Lonchura striata: one gene and its partner. The protein of the gene in region 2 interacts with the protein of the main gene of each other region in a biochemical or structural test. Links are inferred from orthologs where the notes say so. Each region holds a gene or a part of one and is shown on either strand. Other genes may lie near its edges. The genes, in order: CARD11 and BCL10.

The links.
Region 1: the proteins of BCL10 (region 2) and CARD11 form a complex in vitro, tested with the Homo sapiens proteins (2 studies listed by BioGRID, with this or other methods). The link is inferred for Lonchura striata from reciprocal best matches to the Homo sapiens genes BCL10 and CARD11.

The regions. Positions count from the first base shown.
Region 1 is NC_134618.1:13,867,735-13,871,645, reverse strand, and holds the start of CARD11 (caspase recruitment domain-containing protein 11), read left to right. Parts: upstream 1-903; 5' UTR 904-1,010; coding exon 1,011-1,023; intron 1,024-3,911. UniProt on the Homo sapiens protein: Adapter protein that plays a key role in adaptive immune response by transducing the activation of NF-kappa-B downstream of T-cell receptor (TCR) and B-cell receptor (BCR) engagement.
Region 2 is NC_134611.1:18,376,808-18,380,718, forward strand, and holds the start of BCL10 (B-cell lymphoma/leukemia 10), read right to left. Parts: upstream 2,800-3,911; 5' UTR 2,749-2,799; coding exon 2,665-2,748; intron 685-2,664; coding exon 396-684; intron 1-395. UniProt on the Homo sapiens protein: Plays a key role in both adaptive and innate immune signaling by bridging CARD domain-containing proteins to immune activation.

The DNA of each region.
Region 1 (3,911 bases), on a different chromosome or scaffold from region 2:
AGCTAAATGTCCTCTGTGAGACCCACCAGGGGCTGGGTTTGCATGTTGGCCTTAAGGCTGGAATCCAGCATTGAAGCAATACAAGCTACTGCAGCTTCTCTGTGTCGGCAAAGACTGCCTTTGGAAAACACGTTATTCAAAACATCCTTCAACTGTAAAATAATTTGATGCATAAAGCAAACCTTGTTGACTACCTTTTTAGCAAAATAAGCTATTAATAATCTAGATGCCTTAATGAAAAACCTTTGATACCTTGGGAAAACCCAGAGCTCCTTCTGCCTGGAACTGTTGTTCTTGAAACTCTGTTTTCTTCAGTTCCTTCATTCTTTTTTCTCTCCCACCTGCTTTCTACCAGCAAGTGCCCTGAGACACCAGGGCTGCTGCTCTGTGCTGGGAAAGGCACAGCACCAGCCAGGCTGGCATTAAGCACATCCCCTTGAGCCTGAGGAAATCATGCCCTGGAAGTGTGTGGAGCTGAAGTGAGGCAGTGGAGACAGGCTGCTTCTTGTGCCCGAGCCGGGCATTTGTGCTGCCACCTCTGCCCACTGCTCTTCCTGGGAAAGGGGCAGCAGTGCCTCCTGATTTGCTTGCCTGCTGCCACAGGGCTCTGCTGTCACCTGCCTGCAGAGTCATTTGCAAACAGGCCCTATTGCTGGGGAGCAGAAATGTGTTTTTTTCAACCTGCAGCAGATTTATAGTCTGGTTTCCTGTCAGATCTTTGCATTTTCCTTCTCTGCCCCTCCCAGCCTCTGACACACTTTTTCTTACTTTCTGTGTGGCTCTTTGCTCATTCTGACACCAGTGCCCCCAGCCTCCTTCATTCCTGATTCTCCCGAGACTTTTGTACTTTGGGGGCCAGGGAGTGTTTTGCTTCTTGTGTTTCCTTAACTTTTCAACAGCTGCAGAGCACGAATAACCTTTCCAGGACTCCTGGAGAGACACAGACTGTTGCATGGAGGCGACGTAGAGAGTGCAGCCTGCAGCAGCTGCAGCCCCACAGCCGGTCACTCATGGGCACCCAAGGTAAGGAGAGCAGCTGGCAGAGCAGCTCCCCTCCCTGCTGCCTACACAGCTCTGATCACTGAAAGTTCCACTTTCACCTTTTTCGTGTTGATATTCAAAAGGTTCTTTGAAAATGGTTCCATTTGTGCTTCCCTTGCCATCATCAGGTCTGATATTCAGCGTGTGTCGATCTTTGGAGCCCAGGCTTGAGGGAGGCAAAGAGGCTGTAGCTGGAGGTGCAAATGTGCACTGGGAAACTGAGTTGATATGGAGGTCTGGAGAGGGGAGATGAAGGACTGATCATCAGTGCTGGTCTCCAGGGTATTTCTGGTTCTACCCATAGTGTGTTGAACTCTAGCCCTTTCTTTAAATCTCTTCACTGAGATTTATGCTTTCTGCTAACAAGTAAAATCTTTATTATTTGGTTTTCTTCCTCTTTTTATTTGTTCTTCTCACTTCCCTTTTTCTTTTCTCAACCCTTTCTATTTCTTATCTTTTTCACCATCTTTTTATGCCTTTTTATGCCTTTTTATGCCATCAAGAGTATTTTCTGTGTGACAAATTATTTCCCTTTTTCATTCCTTTCCTTTCCCTCTGCCTTCTTTCATGTCTGTGCATCCTCCCTCAAGTTCTTAATCTCTCCCTCCCCTCTGTCAGTTCCTTCTTGTTCTTGTGTTCCCCTTTCCCGTTGTTCCTCCAGCTTCACACATGCACTCCTACTTCCTGCTCCATCCCCTCTCTCCTGTGTTTGCTGCACTGGAAAGAGCCTTTCGTGAGAGCTCTTGCCTCTCCACTGGCCTGTCCTTGCACACATGTGTCTCTTAGTCCTGTCATTCCCTTCCATGGAAGTGTTCAGGATTTGCATATTTACAGTTTTGGGGATGCATCCCAAAATAGGAGACTTTTACCCTTGCATAGCTTCCTTCCAATGCTCAGACTCATATTTAGTCATTCACAGCAAATAACCACTGTCATCCTGTCTCTCTGTTTCTGTCTTACAAACAGCATTTTCTAGCACCTGTAACCCCTTTGTCTTCCTCTCCACTCTCAAATAGAGCCTGCCCTGACTTTGTGTATTCTATCCCTTCTCTTTTTGCCATCCCACTCCTTCCTACCTTCTTACCACAACTCTTCACCAGGTTTCTCTATCTGTTTTTATCTTTATATTGCATTCAAACTAGGAGGAAATGCTGAAGCTGCTGGGCTTGCACTGCTGCCTTAGGATCCCTCTGCCAGCCTGCAGGGGAACCAGAGGAAGTATTGCAGTCTCTCAGCTCCTCTTTCCTCTGCAGAATAACCAACCTGAGCAGAGAAAGAGCTTAGTGACTGAACTGAAGGTAGATGAAAAAATGGGAAAGTACATTGCAAAATGCCTTTTGAAAACTGTAAAAAATAGTTCTAGTTGTTAGTTAATCTTTTTACTAAACTGAATAAACTTCGGCAATTCCTGCCCCACAGCAGAATTTCTTATCTGACACTGGCATAGTTTTTGTCCTTTTGATTCCTATGGGATTCCAAGTCCCAAAGGTAGACGTTCTCATCTCCGATGCTGTAGTGGCAGTTACTTTGCTCCTAGGATCTGGAAACAGCTCATGTCTTTTATACCAGACATACTGGTGAGTCACCAAGATCAGACATGGCTAAAAACTGCATCCAAGGACAATATCTGGTGTTATTCCTTGCTTAAATTTGTATGCTTTGAATCAAATATGACAAATAAGTGTACTTCTTTGATGAAGCTTTTTAGCCTCACCTTCTTGAGCAGGACTATTGAGACTGAAGATTTATTCCTAAGGATGTTCTCGTGTGGTCTTTTGGGAACTGAATAAGTTTCACTTATTAAACTCAGCTGAATTAATAAGAGAATTATTATGTGGGAGAATTCTCTTAGCAATCTGTCTGGCTCTCTCAAATTGTCCATCTCCTTATGAGTGAAAGGAGCTTAAATTTTTATGTTTGCAATTATAAAATATCCTTTCTGATTCAGAGTTAGAAAACTGTGGCCTTTGAGCTGTGAGAATTCTTTCTGAATACAGAAAGAGGTACATTAAAATATCTTTGCCTTTTGGATCTTGCAAAAAGTCCACAAGCCTAGAACAATAAAATACGAGATGCTAATTTTATACATTCAGGTCTAAAATGACTCTTTCTTATTCTGTTGCAACTCATCTTGTGATGGGAACAGCATTTGTATTCCTTTGAGTCATTTGAAAAAGCTTTAGGATGTTGTGCCTTATTTCATCAGTACTTTCTGCCCCTATTACTGGTTCTTTTTGTAAAGGCTCCCATAAATAAATGGGCTGGGACAATGTCTCTTCTCTCTCACCCCCTCCTTTTTCTTTTTGCATCACATTGTTTCCCTGTGTTGAGCTAAAATGGACAATGTCAAAGGTGTGTTGTGATTTTTGCAAGGGGACCTGGAGACAGAAATTGTATTTTTGTGTGTGTCTGTGTCCAGTTTCTTCAATAATGTGTCTGGCAGAGGAGGAATTTCAGCAGGAAAGAGCCTGGAAACTTTCTATCCTCAGTAAATTTCTGTATCAAGAGAGCCAACCCCAGAACAGAAATTCAGAATCACGTTTTACTCCCTGTTCTTATGCAAATAGTTACTTCCAATTAGATTTAACTCTTAATTAAGAGTTCAATAAACTTTAATGATGAACTTTCTTAATACACTTTCAGCGTGGGAGAAGGAAGAGCCATCTGACTGCCTGTATCTTTTACAATTAAAGTCAATTTGGACCTTCTCTAGAAAGATGAAACCCAGATAACTGGATATGCTGAAGATACCAGAATGCCATACACCAAATGACCTTGGTTTCTGTACAGTTTCTTGGTAAAAGTTTTCATCTGATAGATATATGGAAATGTAAATTTCATCACAGAGGATGAAATTTATAGAGATCCTT
Region 2 (3,911 bases):
ACTCCCTCAAGCTGCATTTGCTAGTATATTTTCTGCTGAGGCACAAAGTTTAACTAAACCAGAGCATCCTGCCACTGCAGCAAATACCTTGAAGAGAAATGAAAGATGGAAGATAACCACCCATTTTTGAAAAGCAAAACTGAAATACGAAGACAGCTTTATCCATCATAATAACACAATAGGGGTTTTTTTGCTACTTATTATTTATGGTGGATGTGTTCAGATAGTAAAAAGGTAAAACCAGGATACACACACTAGGATCTCAAATGCAAACTGGAGATATTTCCAAACATGTTGTTCCAAATACCAGAGGAAGACTTTTGTTTTGGATTTTAATTTTGCAGACCCTCAAAATAAAACCTATGTCTTACACAACATTATTAAAAAGTTGTTACCTTTAATAGCTTCAAGCTTTTCGTTTTTGACTTTCAACACTACATCAGTTATCTTTTCTAACAGGAAGTTTTGTGTTCTTTCTCGTCTGATAGATTCAATCAAAGTATCCAGTCCCTTTGGATTTTCTGCTAAGTAGTCCAGCAACTTCCCAGTTTTTTTCCTACTGGAAGATCGAGCAGAAATTTCTTCTGTGTCCTCCCTAGTGAGTATTTTCTTAGAACGCAGGTAATCAAAGTGTCTCTCAGCTATGATTTTATCACACAGGTAAGGACGCATCCTTTCTAAAGCCTGAAAAACAAAACAAACTAGTATTAGCCAACATTTCTAATTACTTAGAACCCTGTAGTTGGAACCTATATGATTTTGATACAGGTTAGCAAAAGAATTTTTAAAGCTGCTGCTGTGTTACTTAGTTGAGACTTTTCTCAGTGTAAAAAAATTTTTTAAAAAAACTGTTACCTAATTATCACTTTCATTAACTCTTTGACTGAACTCAGGAGTTCCAATGCTTGTTACAAAATATGGTGACTGCTTATAAAAAATGTGATTACATAAGGTCTGAGGTTAGCACGTTTCAAAACAATCAAGTAAAAATGGAATTATACCAAACAGCACCTACTCACTTTGTCTACAAATACACCCATTTTCACTGGTCATCTGATTGCCACATGTGTTATCCTTGAGGCACAACTCCAAAATACTGCAGTTGTTGACGTTTTCTGTACATTGAGCAAAAGCAGTCTCAAAGCAACAGCATGAATATGCTCCCAGTTCAAAAGGTTTGTAAATAATCCTATTTATTTACACTATTGACAAGTTCAACAAATTACTGACATCCAAGATAAATGCACTTTCATCCATAAATGTACGTACTCTCAACATTAGTGGCTGCTTTTAGTCTTTTGCAACCCTACTCCATTGTATGAGTGATTCTCACCCTCATCCTTCTCAGCTCTTAACTGCAAGACTCCAAACGTTATAACTCTTCCTCAAGACCAGCTTGCCCAGATCAAGATGTCCTTGCTAGTTTTAGTTTCCTGAGGTCCCCTGTCATAGACAGTGACTCTGCTAACACAGCACCCTGGCCTGCAGAGATCCCATCAAAGTCTCCTGAACAGCCCTGAGAGAGCCGAGTCAGTTGTGAAGCCACAACATTTAAAATCTGACTGCAGAAGCTCTAAAGTCAGATTTGTGGGACTGCATTTTGATGATAAAAAGAAGGTTATTTCTTTCTACCTAAGGTTTCCATCCTTTCTCCTCCAAGTACTATACCTGTAAGATCAAGGGCTGAAGTGACAATCATGCACTTCTGTGAGATGCAGCTGCGGGTTCAGTCACTGACCCAGACAAACATACTTGTCATGTTATACCTACAGTGTCTGACTCAAGTAGTTCTTATCCTTTTTTGGTGTAACTACCCAATGCCAACTATTGCAGTATCAGCCTGTGGAAACGAGTATTAGCTTGAAAAACATGTCTCACAAAACTATGACAAAGCATTTAAAAAGAAATCACTTAAGCATAAAGCTAGAAAAAAACAAGCTGCAAGGAGTCTTTACTGTACTTTAAGAGAACGTAAGAAAACCCCAATGAATCAAACATAAGACACTATAAATTACAAACAGAACCATGGATAGGCAATAAATAAGTGATAAACTGTTATTTTACTTTTTATTAAAAAGTAAATTTTTTTACTTTTAATTTTTTTATTTTTAAATTAAGCAATCACTTGTTGAAGTTGTTAATGCATTGCTTCCCAGTCTCACGTTGAGATAAATTATTCCAGAATGGATCAGGATGAAGTCTTCCCTCAGATTCCAAACAACAGTGAATAAGTACTGGGGAAAACCCAGGAAAATATAGAACAATAAGCCTCAATAAAAATAAAAAATATCTAAGGATACTTAACGAAGACATCCCCGCTTTCTAAGAATTCACTTCCCTGGCCGCAGGAGCAGCAGTCACACTCCCAGCCGAGCTTCGGGTCCCGCAGGCAGCGGCGCGGCGACCGCCGCAGCCGAGCCCCGGAGCCGGGCCCGCGCAGGGCGGGCGGCCCGGGGCCCGGCGGGGACGGGGCGGCCCCGGGCCCGCGCTCGCGAGGGGGCCCAGGCGGGCCGAGCCGCGCCCGACACTCCCCGGCCCGGCCCCGGCCCGGCCCGGCCCCCCGCCCGCTCCCACGGCGCTTCCGCTCCCCCGCCCGCGCACGGGCCCCACTCGCCGCTCCGCGCCCGGCCTGGGCACCGAGCCCCCGGCTCGCCCGCCACTTACATCCTTCTTCACCTCCGCCATCTCGTCCTCCGTCAGCGGCCGCCCCGCGCCCCCCGAGCTCGCCCACGACCCCGGGCCCTCCATGGCGGAACCCTCGGCGGCGCCGCTGGGGAAACCCGCGCGGGGCGGCGCCTCCGCCCCCGCCCGCCTCCGCCAATGGCAGCTCAGCCTCGGCGCGTCGCCCCGCCCCCAGGCGGGACAAACCGCGGCCACGCCCCAGCGCGGCCCCGCCCCAATGGGAGCTCAGGGTCTGCGCTACGCTCCGCCCCCGGCCCGCCCACCAATGGGCGCTGAGGAGCGGCGCTCCGCCCCCGACCCCCCGCCAATGGGCGCTGAGGATCGGCGCTCCGCCCCCGGCCGCCCGCCAATGGGCGCTGAGGATCGGCGCTCCGCCCCCGGCCCCCCGCCAATGGGCGCTGAGGATCGGCGCTCCGCCCCCGGCCGCCCGCCAATGGGTGCTGAGGATCGGCGCTCCGCCCGCGGGCGGCTCCCGGTCCTGCGGCCGCGCGGGCCGGGCTCGGTGCCCCGGTGCGGGAGTGCCGCGCCGCCGGCTCCGGCTCGGGCTCCTCGGGACATGTGACGACCCCTCCGCTAAAGGGTCTTGAGCGTGCGGAGAGGTGTCGGGGCCCGCGGCTCGTGCGGGTGCCGGCTCGTCGTGCCGGCGGCTGGCGGCACCGGGCCGTACCGGGCGGGGCCGGTTGCCCGCAGGTTTCGGGGACTGGCGGTGTTCAGAAGCCGCTCCGCTGCACCGGGTCGTGCTCCAAGGCAGCAGCAGAGGGAGCCGCTGCCCCGCCGGGACACGGCGCCGCTCCGCAGGAACGGCAGCGCTGGAACGGCAGCAGTCGGTGTTCTCGCCGCTGACACGGGTGAACTCGGGCTAGTTATTCACTCCTAAAATTTTCCATTCAGCAGATAAACATGAACAGAAGTAGAAGCGATCAACGCTGCGGTTTGCTGTCAGTAAGGACAACCTGCCAGTTCTGTGGTAGTTTTACAGTTTTGCAAAGTCTTTGACTGACATGCTTTGTTAATGCACTTATAGTACTTGAAATATTAATTGTAACTATATCTATTTTGCAGTGCTAGCAGTCCCAGCTTTAAAATAAACACGAAGAACCTGCCCAGAACAGTTGAAAAATAAAGGACTAGGCACCTGATGCCGGGGCTGATTTCTGCAGAGCTGGGTGTTAAAATCGGGGCCAATCCCCAGAGGTTGCCAGCCAGCCGTGAAGGTCACCTCGGCCAGC